Linked DNA regions of Schizosaccharomyces pombe. The protein of the gene in region 1 interacts with the protein of each later gene in a biochemical or structural test. Each region holds a gene or a part of one and is shown in the gene's direction. Other genes may lie near its edges.

What was found. Proteins that work in one complex are often made in the same cells at the same time.
Region 2: the proteins of alp6 (region 1) and kms2 form a complex in vitro, tested with the Schizosaccharomyces pombe proteins (one study listed by BioGRID).

What each region holds. Positions count from the first base shown.
Region 1 is NC_003423.3:480,400-485,828, reverse strand, and holds alp6 (gamma tubulin complex GCP3 subunit Alp6), read left to right. Parts: upstream 1-2,000; 5' UTR 2,001-2,122; coding exon 2,123-2,250; exon of another isoform or gene 2,251-2,289; coding exon 2,290-2,351; exon of another isoform or gene 2,352-2,391; coding exon 2,392-4,223; exon of another isoform or gene 4,224-4,276; coding exon 4,277-4,753; 3' UTR 4,754-4,881; downstream 4,882-5,429. Other genes in the region: Ctf18 RFC-like complex subunit Ctf18, read left to right, coding at 1-1,256, 1,337-1,467, 1,517-1,880; U3 snoRNP protein Utp15, read left to right, coding at 4,933-5,250.
Region 2 is NC_003423.3:646,436-651,036, reverse strand, and holds kms2 (protein Kms2), read left to right. Parts: upstream 1-2,017; 5' UTR 2,018-2,047; coding exon 2,048-2,110; exon of another isoform or gene 2,111-2,153; coding exon 2,154-2,900; exon of another isoform or gene 2,901-2,966; coding exon 2,967-3,530; 3' UTR 3,531-4,101; downstream 4,102-4,601. Other genes in the region: DNA replication factor C complex subunit Elg1, read right to left, coding at 1-1,057; rba50 (RNA polymerase II-associated protein), read left to right, coding at 4,459-4,601.

The sequences.
Region 1 (5,429 bases):
GGATAAAAGCTTGGGATCCTTGTGTGTTTGGAAAATCTCGATTACAGCCCTCAAAGAGTATGCGTTTTAACCCCAGATTTACTAATATCACTTCTGATAGTGATAGACCTGATAAACGGATTATGATGCTGACTGGACTGGCAGGTGCAGGTAAAACGACTTTGGCTCATGTTATTGCTCATCAGGCTGGATACAAAGTTTTGGAAATAAATGCTAGTGATGATCGTACTGCTCATACGGTTCATGAAAAGGTATCCTCTGCCATTAGCAATCATTCAGCCTTGTCATCTCAACCTACATGTGTTATAGTTGATGAAATTGACGGAGGTGATCCTGCATTCGTACGAGCACTTTTGAGTTTATTAGAGAGTGACGAAAAAGCGACTGAGTATTCTCAAGCTGGTAATTCAAAGAAAAAGAAAAAGTTTAAGAAACTTTGTCGTCCCATTATTTGCATTTGTAATGACTTATATACTCCAGCACTTCGACCTCTGCGACCATATGCTCAAATAATATATTTTCGACCACCTCCTCAAGCATCTCTTGTCGGTCGTTTAAGGACTATTTGCCGAAATGAAAATATAGCTGTTGACAGCCGCTCTTTGACTTTGCTGACAGATATCTATAATTCTGACATTCGAAGCTGTATCAACAGTTTACAACTTTTGTCTTTAAATAACAAACGTATAGATTCTGAGACCATAAAGCTTTTGCAACCAAAAAGTAATTCTTTTAGTACTTCTAGTTTAATCCAATCTCTTTTTTTACAACTTGATAATAAACAAATACGTGCAATTGAAGCATCGCAACCTACTTACTCACATTTGGACGCCCTCCTTGCAAGGATTGATGGAGCTAATGATTCTGAATCAGTCTTGATGAATTGTTTTCATACATACTTAGATCTTCCTTTTACTGATAGCTTACTTTCTAAACCTGCTTTGACAAGCGAGTGGCTTTACTTTTTCGACCAACTTCATTCACAATGTTATAAGGGAAATTATGAGTTATGGAGGTACATACCTTATTCCATTATTCATTTTCATTATTTGTATGCAACTCCTGAAAAGTGCCGCCTTCCGCATCCTCCCAGAAGTGATTTGGAAGCTTTAAAACTTTATCGTACTCGCAAAGAAATATTGGATTCATTCATATCGACGCTAAATGCTTATGAAAATCAAATGCATGGAGAAAGATCAATTCTTTTGGAACTTATCCGTACAATTTTAATTACCATAAATCCTACACTAAAACAGGTAAGGTCTATATATTTTAAAAAAAAAAAAAAAAAAAATTGCGTGAAACAATATTTTTTTAATTTACTAACTTTTTATAGAAAGAAGATTCTATGCCAAGGAGCGCTTTACCTTCTAAAATTGAGCATGCGATTAACATTTTAAATCATTATAATTTGCGTTTCCAACAGCTTCCCGTTGGAGATGGCAACTATGTGTATAGGCTTGAGCCGTAAGTTCCAATATTTTTATTTCTTTCTAGTAATAGCTAACGTTGACAGACCTTTGGATGAATTGGTTTGGGACGCACCTACAAGTTCATATTCTGTTCGTCAAATGCTATCTCAGGAACTGCTCAAGAAAAGGCTCGCAGACATTAAAAAACAAACCCTAACGGACAACCCCACTTCTTCGAATTCTTCAAGAAAGCGCAAAGATTTTAATTCCGGAAAAGCAATTAAGAGAGATTTTTTTGGCCGTATCATTTCTGAACCAAAATCTGAAGCAGTTACATCGAATAATGCAGCTTTGAATACAGGAGATCATCCAGTTTCCATCAAGCATGCAATCAATATCAAATTTCACGATGGGTTTTCCAATGCTGTGAGAAAACCAATATCGTTGAACGAGATTCTGAATTTCTAATCTAATGTGCATTAATATTTTTAATTTCAATCTTTTTGAAATAAAATCAATCATTTAATTTAAAAAAAAATCACTAGTAAAAATAGGTGTATGCGTAAATTCATCTAACCATTATTTCCTGACCGCGACTTCGGCGTGTACTTTGTCAATGGCTTTAAGATTTTGAGTTAACGATCAATACTTGTATTTCTCTATTTTAATTCAAAAATAAAAAAAATACTTTCGTCATTTGAAGTTCTCAAATGTCGGAGATTCATGTGAAAACTGCATTATCACGTCTGGCGGACAAGTATTTACAGAACTCCAAAAACCCTTCTGTCCCTTACACAATTGAAACGATCGTGTCTTTCTTTCAGGAAATAATTCACTCGTAAGCTAATTTCGTGTAAATGATCATGCTAACTGTTAGCATTTCTCCTGATACTTTTCAACTGGACATTGATGACATTCTGTACAAAATATATTCAAAAAGTATGTGAAGGTCTAAATACCAAAATTAACAGTTTTTTAGTTCCCCCCGAAGAAAACAATGATGCTTTATTTTCTAAATTATCTAACTTAGTTTCGCGTTTGAAAAGTCAAACGGTCATTCACAACAAATCTCAAATACTCTATTTCTTATACTTGCTCTCTCCTATTTCTCAGTCATCAAGAGATGTCTCCTCTCATTTATTAGATGAGTCTATTTCCAATCCTATCAATATTCCATCAACAGAAGTGGAATCCTCAAACTTTGGTCAGACACGTTACGATCAAGTTCCTGAAAACCCCCAAATTACTGATTGGGATGAAGGATTGGAAAATGAAAGTTCTATCTCAATTGCTCATGATTCATCTAGGCTAAACCGTAGTACTGAAACTTCTTCTGTTCAACATACTTTGATTACAGAAGCCGATTTGTTGTCTTCAATATCTTACGTACTTCAAGGAATTTCTACCGAATATGTTCAGTTTAAAAATGAATTAGCGCTGTTGTCTAAGAGAATACCTGTCCAATACCTTTTACAGATGCGAGCTCTTTCAGAGACAGGCTTATTATATCAGGAACTAAAGGTTTTCAGCAATTATGATCCTTCGGTCAGTCAATCCATTGATGGTGATAACGTTAGTAAAGCATTTATAAACGATCAGTCTTTAGCTTTACAAAGTTTAAAATCGGTCATTTCTAAAGAGCTGACTAATTTCCTTGCGTTAATTGCATCTCTGGATTCACAAATTCGAGCAGACGCTTCACTTGAGAAGCCTATGGTAACTATCCGGCGTTGCATTGCCTGGACGCAAGTTGCCAAGCTAAAACTTAGAATTTTGTCTTCAGTTGTTAATGATAATATGAACCAGGAGAATAAAAAAAGATTGATTCAAGTGGTTTCGAAATACAATGTGCATGGAGATCCGCTAATACAAGAATTGAGTGATAAAATACTAACAGAAATTACTGGACCTTTATACGAAATGATTGAAAACTGGATTTATAAAGGAGAATTGGTCGACCCTTATCAAGAATTTTTTGTTAAAGAAAAAAATGGTAGTGAAAGCCATGATCATCAAGGGCAAGGTGATGTCGTCTGGAAAGGTAAATATTTTTTAGACAAAGAGTTAATACCAAGTTTCCTTTCTGAAGAACTTGTCGACAAAATCTTTTTGATTGGAAAGAGTTTAAACTTCGCACGTTATGGATGTGGTGATTTTGACTGGGCACAAGAGCATTACCAGAAGCTAGTGAAAAAACTTAGTTATAGAGACCCTCATTCATTAGAAACAGTGGTTGATAAGGCGTATACTGAGTCCATTAATCACTTAGTATACTTGATGGAAGAGGTGTTTCATTTGACTGATCATTTAAAGGCTATCAAAAAATACCTTTTACTAGGACAAGGTGATTTTGTGGACTTATTAATGGAGAGCCTTGGTAATTCTTTGGATCAGCCGGCTAATACTTTGTTCAGACACAATTTGACTGCTTCTTTAGAAAGCGCCATTCGTTCAAGTAATGCATCTTATGAACCTGAATACGTATTAAAAAGATTGGATGCTAGGCTTCTGGAGCTTTCACATGGTGAAACTGGTTGGGATGTTTTTACGTTGGAGTATAAAGTTGATTCACCTATCAACGTAATAATAACACCATATTGCTCTAGACAATACTTAAAAATATTTAACTTTTTATGGAGGTTGAAACGAATTGAGTTTGCCCTTGCCCATTCCTGGAGGCGAGTAAATTTGGGCGAGCGAAATGTCTTCAGAAATCTGGATTACACAAAATTCGAATGGCATTTTGTCAGTTGTCATCTTGCGGAAATGATTCATTTTGTTTGTCAACTTCAATATTATATACTCTTTGAGGTAACGAAAAACCAAAACCCAATTTTGCATTGTATACTAACCATTGGAAACAGGTTATCGAAATTAGTTGGCAAGAATTACAGCTTGCTATGGAGAAACCAAACGCTACATTGGATACGTATATAGAGGCACATGAAAAATATGTTACTAGTATAACTCATAAGGGCTTGTTGGGTGGTGGTAAGTCAAGGAATGAAGATTCCTTCCTTCATCAGCTTCATGATATACTTAAAGTTATCTTAAACTTTCATGATGCAATTGAGTTGTTGTATAACTTTTCTTGCTCCCTGTCGAATAGAATTCGCATTAATGTACCAATTTCGACTGATGCTTTGGCAGCTCAATACACCCCTATAAAAAATGAACTCTCAAATTTTACTGAGGAATTCCAGGTTCGACTTCAAAAATTATTACATGGATTAGCTTCCCATAAGGACCCAGAAATGCGCTTTCTTTCCGTTCGTCTCAATTATAACGAATTCTACGTTTCTCATAGACGGCGTCATGATAAGGATGTTACCAGTCAATAAATGAGGTTCATGCATGATTATTTAAACTTTTATTACTCGTAGTAAACTATAAATTTAGTTATTAATATTTAATGTGATTTAACTATCGTTCAGCGGTGCTGTTTAATTTGCCTTTGCCAACCACCAACACCACCCACCCATTTGGTTAACTTTTTTCAGCAACCACATATACGGATATCATGTCCGCGCCTGCTGGTAGACTTCAACCTCAGCGTTTTGCTGCTTTACCTAATCCCGTTACTGCTGAAAATAAATTTTGGCGGTCATTCAAGGTTCCTGTCGTTGCCAAGGAATATAGTGCTATCACTAGTATTCATTTTTCCGCTGAATCCCCTTATGACTTTGCAGTAACTAGTGGGGCTCGTGTACAAATTTATGGAGCTAGTTCAAGGTCTGTTAAAAAAACAATTGCTCGATTTAAGGATACCGCATATTCTGGTAACATTAGAAAGGATGGAAAACTTTTGCTTGCAGGAGATGCTACAGGACTTGTACAGGTAAGTCTACATTACCAAAAGCTTTGAAAGATAGTTGCAATTAAAACGTTGATAAGCTGCACATGGAATTTTGTTAGTTTAGTTTAGCTGATTGAAGCTGTCATTTGCTAGTATATAGCTAAAAAAATACCATTTTTCCGGTGTTTGTCAACGCTTTAAACTTACTTTAGAGGTTTTCT
Region 2 (4,601 bases), 170 kb from region 1:
ACCTTAGCCAATCCGCTATCTTCGAAAGGCATTGAGAGAACGCACAGCAATCTTGTGTTTTAGATGGAGCATATTTTGACACCCACAGTCCTTTTTCTAATATTTGTGGGATCATTGGCATTTCAACATTAGGATCTGATGGCAAAAGTCTTGACAAAACCTTTTGAATAAAAGGAGCCGGTGAAAAGCACAACGATTCCAAAGCAAAAGTATGAAGTTTAGAAGGAGTAACCTGTAATACTTCTGTTTTATTTTTCTCAGCTAATGGGGTTATCATATTCGCGGTGGTGGAGGAAAGAACCTCCTTAAACGAAAGATGAGAGGTCTCTTCTAAAATGGCTTCTTCTAAATGCTTTTTCGGAAACCAGAAAACACTCGGCTCAATAGAGCCGGCATACTCTAACATACTCTGGGAATCGGGTGTCGGCCATAATGGATCAAGTAACCTCTCTGGCTTAGTACCGCCTCTTTCTTCACTTACAAATTTGATTTCAGAATTCTTTTTCACAGACTTTGACATGAAAAACGGGTGCATGGATGTGACAGTATTTCGCAGATTACTAGGTGAATCTGCTAAGTTTGAATAATGTAACTCGGAAACAAGGGGGGAAGAATTAACTGTTTCCTGTGAATTAATATTCTCAACTAAAATATTAGTATCTGATGCTTCTCCCGACGACTTAGCAGGCGGAAAGGCAGTTGAGTTGGTATCATTGCTGAGTTTTGGGTGTAATATATTCTCAATTTTTTGACCCAAGGAAGTCGATACTTTAAGCGTTACTAGTAAAGATTGATCATTTTCAAAGTCTTTGCTTTCCTCCATATCCATATCAAAGAATTTCCTCATGTAGCTACGTTCCTTATGAAGTGATCGGCTTCTTCGAGGTTTACGAGACCCTGACAAAGGAGATTTGCCAAAATATTTATTTTCAGATGTGGCAGGGACTGGTGACATTGTGTGTCTCCTCCCAATAGGCTTTTCTTCTTTTGCTTCATTTTCGGATTTTAAATCAGGATTACTCTGCGAATCTGCAGACAAATAGCCTACAATTTGCATAGGGATCTTCAATCACCGCATAAGTTCAATAAAAGTCCTAGTTTGAATGATTTTTAGAAATAGTTTCACAGGTTTCTCAGCTTTCAACAGTTTGGTTAAGGAGAGGTAGACAAAGACTCCGTGTACTAGTGAACGAGTATTGGGAATTCGATAAGCTTATAGTTTAGATTTATTTATTTTTAAGTATGTTTTAGATTACTGAAATTCCTAAATAAAATATCGTTGCACCATTGAAGCAACACGATCCTCCATATTATCATTGTTATGTGTAAGCTGTCAGTAATTGAATAGAGAAGTAGGAGATATAATCGTCACAGTTAAGCTTTTTCATCTCTTTTAAAAACGACTTACCAACTTTTAATGTGAGTTTGCTTATTCCATGCAAAGAAAACCGAGTTCAATAGCTATTAATCCATAGCCTAACATAATCAGTGAAATAGTCAAAAGAAAAATTTGATACTAATATACTTTTTAGAAAATTTTAAAGAATTTGTATAATTACTATTTCTACTACCGCCAATTAGTCGGAACGCTGACTAACTTTTTGTGCATCGTTGTAAAATAAAGGAGAGCAGAATTTCACTTGTTTATGATTGTAGTAAATTTTCTAAGTTAAGTAGTCTATTTACTTCAATTAAGTAAATCTAGATTCAAGAAACGGATCACATTTGTTTATCTGTTTATTTATTTGTTTGTTTTTTAAAAAAAGGTAAGTGTAAAGCTTTCCTTCCACTTTAACTCAATCAGTAAAAAATAATTTATTTTGAAGATGATTTTGCTAACAATTTTATACATTTCGTACTGCAACATTTTGCTAAAATATCCTGTTTATGTTTTGACTTGCACTTTGTTTACTTTTTTAAGGCAACTTCTATAACGTATTGTTCTGCATTACATTACAAAAATAAGAAAATCGCACAAGTTATCGTTAACAAACCTGCCTTTATACTAATTCTGTTTAACCAAAGCACATGTCAATAAACAATCAAAATGGATGAATACATCCCTTTTGACGATATTGTGCGCCAATACGACCCAGATTATACAGGAAAAGTAATTTCTCATTACTTGAAAAATAGTTTCTAATTTTCGACAGGTTTCCATTCAAGCATTTTTAGAAATTGTCGACGATGTTGACGCATTGCGACTTAATCCAGAGGCCCCTTTGCTTGATAATGAGCAAAGACAATCGGCCCAAGATTTTATAAAAGATAACAGTGAGATTGTAGTGTCTACGAGTGAAATTAAGAATTTGTTTTATGAGTTAACTGGTCTTGACCCTGATACCCTTCCTGTAAACAAATTAGCTTTGCGCGAGAATGGGGTATTACCAAGAAAAAGTGTAGCGAAGCCTCAAAAAATATCAGAAAATCGAATAAAGAGAAAAGATATGTTTTATCAAGACGCAAGTTACATAACACCAAGAAAAGGATCACCTTTGAGTCATTCAACCCCTTTGTCAATGTTTCGAACTAAAAATGAATATGGATCAAATAAAGGATTTTCTCATATAAACAAGGAAAATGCTGATGATTCTTTAATTCAACAGCTTTATGAAAGGATAGAGCTTCAAGCGGCAGAATTACGTTCTAAAGACGAGCAAGTTAAAGAACTAAACGCGCGAAATGCAAAATTATTGGAGGAATTGGATTCTTCGGAAGAAGCTTGCAAGTCTTGTTATACCCAAGCGAAAACCTGGGAGAAAAAATTTCGTGAAGCTCTTCGTGATTCTAAGGAGTATGCAGCTCAATTACAAACCATTCATGAAGAGTATGAGCAACAGCAAGCCCATATTGTGAGAATGGAAGAGCTAATCCATGCTGTAGAAAAGGAAAGGAAAACGGTATGATTTTTAAGAATATGCCTTATTCGAGGTAGAGACAAGCCAGTTTACTAATTTGTTTAATAGGAAACAGATTACATGAAGAAAGAATCTTTGTCGGAACAAAAAGAAAGAGGCGCTTTTATGGAGTCAAACATGATTTTAGAAGAAAAGGTTGCACATCTTCAGTTGGAAAACGAGCAGTTGAGACTATTTTTTAAGGAAAAGGCGCCTCAACCCTTCCAAAATCACCCTCCGTATCAAAATCTAAAAATTACTTTTCCCAGCCCTTTCTTTCACATCCCTTACATCCCTAAAACGGAGACTTTGAACGATTCCCAATTTGCCGCTGGTCTCTCTTTACTGGCATCAGAACTTGAAAGTCAAAAAAATCTGTTAAAGAAGTTCGAAAACTTAAAAAAGAAGTCTTCCAAAGATTTTTTATCTCCCTCCACCATACTCTCTAATGCTTTTTCCAAAGTTTCACTCCCCAATTCTTTAATTTTGCGTGTCTTATTTTTTTCATTGTTGTTCATCATCGGAATTCATATTTTTTATTTTTTGTTTTTTCATGTTGCAACAATTCAACAATGGCCTTTTCTTTTTTGGTTACCATCTACAAAATTCGACAATCGTTGGTCTCCGACATGAATCTTAGATTCAAGTTTAATCCAATTTTTATTTTCAAAGCACGGATTCCAAACTTAATTGCTATAATTGAACATTGATTCAAGATTTATGTATATTGGAATAATTGATGTATTTATGGGGCTCTGCTCAATTCAAGACGATCTGTATCTTCTAACTCTTCGCCTGATAGGCAACGGACAAGAAGTTTACATTGAGCTAATAATTAGTCGCATCTCATCTGCGTTTGGTTTTAGGTGTGTCATATGAAAAAGGGTTAAAGCGACGTTTTTCGTTTTTATGTTTGAATTAAGATATTTTCTCTGAGACGAAATATTTTTAGTGTTTATCATTCTTTTCTTGTCTAATCTTCTACTCGCCACTCATTTTTCTGTTCTCTATTTTTTCTTTTTGGATGAATGTCGTTTCTTCTAATAACTTCTTTCTTTCTTTAATCTTCAAGGATAGCCCAAGTCCTATTAAACTCGGATACTATCTTTCTCATAATTTCTCTTTTATAACTAGAAAACTTTTTCACGAATTAATTATTTATTATGCACTTTTAATATTAAATGAAAAGTATTGAATTAAAAAAGGAAAAAACCATCCATTTTTCATATCATGTAAACATTTAGTTTTTTTTCCATACAATAAATCAATTTTTACAGTTACGTTATCATATATAGTGAGATGTACCGTTATTTTGTGAGCGCAAAATAGCTAAGAAAATGAGAGAAAACGTAACCATCCCTGCAATCTACCAAATGGTATGTAAATAGTGAAAGGGAGAAAAAACTCATAAGGTTGAAGTATTTATTATTCATTTAATCAGAATCTCATAATACTATCTCAGAGGGCTTTATTCGTGAGGTTTGAAGAAATTGACCCTTAAATTCTTATAAAAAGGAAACATCTACATACAAAAAGCAGATATTTTCAAAATTCAATCGCTATGGAGAATCACAGGAGTGTATTCTCAAATGTGATAGGTGATATTGTTGAAAAACCGCCGAAGCAACTTGTTGAAGTGAAGAGGTCAGTTCAGCGGCATGCTAGGGGATTTCCAGCCGTTTCACGAACATTGCCGAAACGAGA